Drosophila melanogaster: one gene and its partner. The protein of the gene in region 1 purifies or fractionates together with the protein of each later gene. This does not show direct contact. Each region holds a gene or a part of one and is shown on either strand. Other genes may lie near its edges.

What was found. Proteins that work in one complex are often made in the same cells at the same time.
Region 2: the proteins of HPS4 (region 1) and HPS1 purify together in Drosophila melanogaster (affinity purification with western blotting; one study listed by BioGRID). This does not show direct contact.

The regions. Positions count from the first base shown.
Region 1 is NT_033778.4:17,684,965-17,688,717, forward strand, and holds the start of HPS4 (Hermansky-Pudlak syndrome 4), read left to right. Parts: upstream 1-1,726; 5' UTR 1,727-1,891; coding exon 1,892-1,974; intron 1,975-2,293; coding exon 2,294-2,528; intron 2,529-2,591; coding exon 2,592-2,834; intron 2,835-2,889; coding exon 2,890-2,984; intron 2,985-3,042; coding exon 3,043-3,753. Other genes in the region: CG42561 (uncharacterized protein), read left to right, coding at 10-131, 191-434; CG42562 (uncharacterized protein), read left to right, coding at 879-902, 956-1,080, 1,143-1,374.
Region 2 is NT_033778.4:14,853,429-14,857,181, reverse strand, and holds the start of HPS1 (Hermansky-Pudlak syndrome 1), read right to left. Parts: upstream 1,754-3,753; 5' UTR 1,671-1,753; coding exon 1-1,670. Other genes in the region: Ciao1, read left to right, coding at 2,223-3,230; Ercc1, read right to left, coding at 3,380-3,568, 3,627-3,753.

The DNA.
Region 1 (3,753 bases):
AATATTTAGCTGTTGGCAATTTTCATCTTCACTGCGGTCAACGCGGCACCGCAAATTTCACCAACTATCGTTCCGCAAATCCGCACAAATGGCTTTCAACTTGAGCCCCTCAATCAAGAATACTTTCTCAGGTAGCTAATCAAAGTCCAGAAGAGAGCTTCCCTTTACTTAGTTAGTTCTGAATCTGTAGAATCGAACATCCGGGTGGCACTATTCGCCAGGAATCCGTGAGCCAGAATGAAGCCGGACATCTGCAGGTTAAAGGTGTGATTAACCAGCCCTTCGAGGATCAGGATGCCAATCTTATTGTCACCTATGAGGCTGGTCCGAATGGATATGTTGCCAAATACAGCTTCGGCAAGGGTCCTCCAACACCGCCTCCTGACACACCATTATTCCTCAGTCCCGGTGCTCTGAAAACTGCAGCGGGATAGGATTTTGACTGAATATTTAGAAAACATTAAAACCACAACTTGCCGTAATTTATATTAAACCAATTCTGTATTTATAAGTAACAATAAGTAAGTTTATAATCACTCACTAGTTTATAGAAATCAATAAACTAGCTAGACTTTCTTAACTATAACAAATTGTTATACTTATTATTGTTAATTGGCTAAGCCCTATTAAAGCAACTTATTAGGTGACTCGGTCAATGATTCACTGTGGCAAGTTTTATTGTTATGTTATGTAAATCCCTGTTGACAGTATTCAAAAATCACATCTTATAGCTATACTATAAGCGGAGAACGATTTTTGAATGTGTTTATTAATGATTCCAGTTTTGAACTTGGTTTAAGTTTAGCTGTTTATTTGTTAGCTGTTTGCTGTCAGCTATCTAAAAACATCAGTCGCTAACCAAAAGCCAAAAGATCATCATGGCTAACCTATTGTTAAGCTCAGTGAGTTTTTCTCATAAGTTTGCCTGCCAATCGTTGTATAATATTTGCTACAGGTGTTTTTGATTCTGTTTCTAAGTCTGGTGAATTCGGCGCCCACAACTTCAGTTACCAAATTCGTGCCGCCCATAAACGATAATGGAGTTGTGCTAGTGCCATCTGAGAATAATTATTCCCTGAGGTAAACAAAAAATGAAGTTAAGATAATGCTGTAAGCTCAACCAAATGGCTTCCATATTGTAGGATTGATCTCGACGGTTCAACGCGGGATGAGATTGTTGAACAGATTGCGCCAGATGTGCTTCAAGTTAAGGGTACTTATAGCCAGCGTTTTCCTGGTTCGAAATACCTGCTGGTCACCTACAAAGCTGGTCCCGATGGATATGTGGCCAAGTATAGCATATCTAGCCAATCGGATACTGTGAACCAGATTCAACAGTTGCCACCCAATGTGTTGAAAACAGCTGCTGGATAGAGTTGTTATGATAGTTTAAATAAACATTGTATTACGCGCAATAAAACAGACAAGGTCTCTGTTGTTAAACATATATAAAATCTTATTAATGATATTTGAAAATCATTTGCCTCCGAGAGCTTTTTATAAAATATAGCATTGGTAATCGAATTTGTTACACTCTAAAACTGGAATCGATACCTTCGTCATTGAAGTGGTCACCACATGGATGAATACATTATACGAGAGCATAGTTGCTCGTATACCCACCCGCTCAACCGCAATGATGGAAACACTCGGAAGCTTTCACCTCACTTCTCACCTGCTGGTTCACTTGGGCGTGAGCGGAATTCTGATCACGCTCTCGTATCACAGTTGGTCGTATCAGGCAGCTGGGCCACATCGAAATCAGACAGTTGGCATTGTACGGCGCTATTGGCTTGTTGACTTATCAGAATCGTCGGTCGTTAAATGTGATAAGGAGCCACGATGCAGCGCTAGACTTGGAAGCACCGAAATCCACTAGATTTCAGGAGCAATGTTTCGGGATTGGCGCAAAACCAAGCACAAGCGATGGCAGAAGGTGCAGCAGAAGCAGCAGACCTCAATCCTCACCGAAAGGTTGCTCATTTCATACTCAAACTGTGTTTCCAGTGCACAAATATCTACAATGAATTGCATTAAACAACGTCAAACAAATTGAGATTGCATAAATCCAATTTGTATTTGTGTAAAGTTTTTTTTGCATACCGGTTTTGCTACAGCACTTGTTGTATCAATTCTTGAACAAGTTTTAAGATTCAGCTCACATTTTACAAGGGAAAATAGTTGAACGTAATTTCTCCAAAGCTTTTCCTTAACATTAGAAACTAAGCTAAAATATATTTCCCCGTCTCAAAGTCTCAATAACAATAACCCTTGAACTTTATTAAATTTACAGGGAGACGATGATTGTGTTTGTCTACGACACAGAGTGTCTCACAGACGAGGCGGATGATCCCATATCGGCGGTGCTCTACTTCCATCCAAGCTGGGTGTCCGACTCCCAGAAGGTGGCTCTGTGTGGTCAGCTTATGGGCACGTCGTATTTCCTCAAGGATTGCTTCTTTAATCCCCGCATCCTGGCGCTGCAGAATGGAAAATTTGTGCTGAAGGAATTCGGTCGTTTTATTCTGGTAAATCGAATCACATAATTTCACTTTTCTTTTATTAATCCGATGGAGTATTCTGTTTTCCAGGCAATTGGCACTGATCGAAATATTGGAGATCAACTGTTGGAACATCGTGCTGATCTGCTGAGTTCCCTGCTCAAGTTTTTCCACCGTGACGTCCAGACATTGTATGCCCAGTATGCTGCACCGCCCGCCCTGAACCGCCGGAATCTCAGCGAGAAACTGTACCACATCTTTGAAACATATCTGCCGATGCTGCAGCGCAACGGAAATACATTTCAAAATGTGCCGAGGCTGCGAATGCCAAAGGTGAGTGGTTAAAGTAACAAACCGAATTACCTAGATAACCAAGATTCTCTTCCAGACGGCCAGTCATATATTCCTGGAGGCTATACAAACGTTGCAAAGTTGCCAGCAGACAAAGGGAATACTTGGCGGAGCGATTCTGTACCACAACAAGTCAGTTAATCCGGCTAAAGTCTGAACAAATTGTAAATTCAAATACCTTGTCTTTTAGGGTGGTTGCCTCGCAACTGAGCGATATGGTGACCAAGCATCTTGTACTCACCGATCCTCTGCACATCCGCACTGCGGCCGAGCAAGTGACCAACCATCCTGAGTTCCACATACCCAACGGCGTTCAGATGCTGGTGGTTTATTTGGAGCATATGCAGTACCGCCAGTTAGCTGGCGAGGCACAGCGCGCCCAGAACCTGCAGATGAACACAGCTCAGCTCACCCAAAATGGTATGCCGTTTCAGTATGCCAAGCGTAAGATAAAGCGGGACAAGTCGCTCATTTTTACCCATATACCCGAGGAGGAGCACGCCCCGGAGCAGCAGGGAGCAGTTGAACAGCTACCACCAGCCAGGCCCAAATCTATGCGACCCACCCACCTGCCGTTGCGTATAAAAAGCATGCAGAGCAAAGAGCTACCGGAGTCTGGCATTGCATCAATAAATTTCGACGAAACCGATTCCTATCCGCAGTTCATTGGACGAACCAGCGTTTGCAATACTCCAATGACCGAGAACAAGGTACTGCCGGTGGCCAATGTTATGTCCATTTGCGCAAATCCCGAAGATGAGGGCAAAGAGGAGGATATTCACAATTCCAATGGCAAGACACATTCGCGTCGAAATTCTCTAAAAGTGGATGTGGAGAAATTCTTTCAAAACTTCATTAGCAATCCAAACAAACAGCTCACACGACGCAAATCATCTGCAGA
Region 2 (3,753 bases), 2.8 Mb from region 1:
TTGGCCGGTGACAGCTTGGGGAAGCACAACTCCGCCAGATCGTGGTAATAGTCCATTGTAAGAGCACCTGGTTCTGTTGGGGATTTCGAACCGTTGCCACTGGCTGCTCCTGTGGACAGAAAGTGGTGCTGCAAATCCACGACGGTACTAAGAACGCCACCAGACATGTCCTCGAACCAGAGGAAGTACGAGTAATGGAATGCCTTATCCTTCCACATCACTGTGGTCTGGCCCTTCTTAAGGTAATTTCTCGCGATCTCCACCATGCTCCAGAGTTTTGTCTTTGGCACCAGCTGGTTCGGTCGCAGATCCGGAGCAAGCATTTGTCCTCGGCTGCGATTGACGTACATAAAGTGCACCAGACCCGGAAAATCCTCCAAATAAGCATCAATGGATATGTTACGAGTGGCCTTAACGGCCAGAAATTCAGCGAACTCCAGTAGCTTGGCTTCCACATTCGCTGCCGTATCAGAGAGTTGATCCAGCTCATGGACACTTGAGCTGTCGCAGCAGGCCAGTGTGAATATCTGCTTCAGTTCCTCTCCGAACGAGGGCAAATTCGACTCAATCCTCACGAGCAGCTCCCGCTCAAAGTTCTTGAAGTACTCAGTGTACATCTTGCGAAGATTCTCCCATTTAGCGGCGAACTTCTTCGTGCAGTTCTCTAGGTCATCGGTTTCCGATCGCTGTTTCAGATATCGCTTCAAAGCGGTCAAGGCCTGCACAATAAACGATTCGAGGTTCTCGAAGGCGGGCTTCAGGGCATCCGAATCGCCCTGATGCTGAACAGCCACGATTTTTTGAAGCACAAAGAAGGAATCGTAGATGCAGCTGGTCAGTGGCATGTGGGCGTACTCGATGACCTGCAGGAGAACTTGGTTACCATGGAGACGCGAGATGTGCACGATACTGGGAACGCAGCCAGAGTTCACATCATAGGAGACACCCTGCAGGAATACAGCTACTGCTCGCTGGGAAGGGGACTTTGGCGCTTGCAGGGCGCGTGACATGAGGCTGAGGAAGAGTAGGTCGGCGGCAGCAAGCGGCAGAGCTTGCCGAGTGCTGTTCGCGGCCACCAGCTTGTTGGAAACGAGCAACAGGGCGTGGGCTCGGGGCAGTCCGAGCTGGCGCAAGTGCTCAAGCGTGGCGTCCAGCGTCAGATGCACTGTCCTCTTTAGTTCCGTGTTGATCAGCAGCCTGGGCATGGCCTCCAGCAGGTACGTCTGATCCTCCTCCCACAACAAAGTCTCATAGCAGTCGAGGCACTGCGTCAGCAACTCCTGTTGCATGGCCCCCGCCTGGGCGGCAAACAAATTGGCGCCGTAACAATAGCGCGTCAGCGTAATGGCCACACCCATTTGGCGACCCAGCAGCTCCACGGGTATTTGTCCGATCTTCAGAAAGGTGAAGCCAAGAAGTTCGCCGAACACCAAATTGAAGCCTTGCTCACACTGCAGGCTGGAGTAGGCATTATCGAACTGGCACTGCATTATTCGCTGAGATCCAACGATGGGGCTGAAAATCTGCAGCAGTATGTTGCTGTCCAGGGAGCCGCCGGACTGGAGCAGGCCCTGGGTGGTGGCCACACTCCGGATCTTCTGCGCCAGCGGCTCGTTAAGCTTCTGGTATACAACATCGTTGGCGCTGTTAAACACAATCAGTCCGTTCATTTTCTTATCAGCATTGGCAAAACACCAAATACACAACAAAACTTTCACCAGTGTCACTGGTGCTGGGTAACGGAATTCGGTGTGTGTTCTGATAAGAAAAGGTGAAGACTTCAAGTCAGCATTTAACAACACTAGAGCGATTCAGCTCTGAGCAATTCAACGCTTTTCAAGCCAGAATTATATATTAAAAGCCTAGTATACGTTCGACTTTTTTTATCCGAATTGCCAATTGAAATTGCTTTTAGTTGAGTTACTAAGTATTGAACTGTAATAAGTTTCCTGATCAAATTAATTTATAATTTATAATATATGAATTTTCAAATTTATTGCATTTTTTTATTATTGCAAAGCAATATCGCTTTGCTTAGATATGAAGAACACAATTTTAAAATTTAATTTTATCCCGATTTACAAATTAAGCTAGATGAACGACTTCTGCCGACGTTTGACCACACTGACGACAGCTGACTTTCTTCTTCTTGCGACATGCGCTTATGTTATCATTATTTGGACAGACAGTGATTTGTCCACTAATACAGCACTTGACCATCAATGGGACGTTTAATTCTGGAACACACGCTGCAGGGCCACAAGGGGCGCATCTGGGGAGTGGCATGGCATCCTAAGGGCAACGTATTCGCCTCGTGCGGCGAGGACAAAGCCATCCGCATTTGGTCGCTGACCGGGAACACTTGGAGCACAAAGACCATCCTATCCGATGGCCACAAGCGCACTATTCGCGAGATCCGATGGTCTCCATGCGGTCAGTACTTGGCCTCGGCCAGCTTTGATGCCACCACGGCGATCTGGTCGAAATCCTCGGGAGAATTCGAATGCAACGCAACATTGGAGGGTCACGAAAACGAGGTGAAGAGCGTTAGCTGGTCGCGATCCGGCGGACTACTGGCCACCTGTTCGCGGGACAAGTCCGTGTGGATCTGGGAGGTTGCCGGCGATGATGAGTTCGAGTGCGCCGCCGTTTTGAACCCGCACACACAGGACGTGAAGAGAGTGGTGTGGCATCCAACCAAGGACATTTTGGCCTCCGCCTCGTACGACAATACCATAAAAATGTTCGCAGAGGAGCCCATAGACAACGACTGGGATTGCACAGCCACTCTTACTTCACACACAAGCACGGTTTGGGGCATTGACTTCGATGCTGATGGCGAGCGCCTGGTTTCCTGTAGCGATGACACCACAATAAAGATTTGGAGGGCCTACCATCCCGGAAATACAGCCGGAGTGGCTACGCCCGACCAGCAAACCGTGTGGAAGTGCGTGTGCACAGTGTCCGGGCAGCACTCGCGGGCTATCTACGACGTGTCCTGGTGCAAGCTTACAGGTCTGATAGCGACTGCCTGTGGCGACGACGGCATTCGTATCTTTAAGGAGAGCAGCGACTCCAAGCCAGACGAACCCACGTTCGAGCAGATAACCGCGGAGGAAGGCGCTCACGATCAGGACGTAAACTCGGTGCAGTGGAATCCTGTGGTGGCCGGGCAACTGATATCATGCAGCGATGATGGCACCATTAAAATTTGGAAAGTGACCGAGTAACATAAGGATTATTGTTTGATATATTTAAGTGGGTAATTCTGGAACTTAATTTTTGTACAGTGTCTGCGTAATAAAAAATTAAAGTATTCAAATGATGGATGAAGTGTGTCATACACGATTATGGGATGCATTACACCTAATATGGATTGCTATTTGCTGAGGAACGGTTCCTGCAACGTTTTGTACAGCTTCTTGGCCTTCCGGGGACCCAGTCCCATCACCTGGGAGAGTCGCTCCTCGCTGGCATTGATTATGTTGCCCAGGTTGCCAAAGGTGTGCAGCAAGGCGGCAGCATCAGTCTTGTTCACCGGCTTGATGTTGGTGAGAGCAGCGAGTAGCTATGGACATTGGGATATTGCATTACAGTGGCGATACTGGCAATGTAAACATGCGTACCTTCTGGTGTGGATTAGACTCCACTCGCTCCATGATCAAATCTGGCGGACGCTTCTCGAACTGTTTGTACGTCTCAATGATTTTGCCCGCCTCCTCAGCGTTCCAGGCCAACATCATTGTCAGGTCG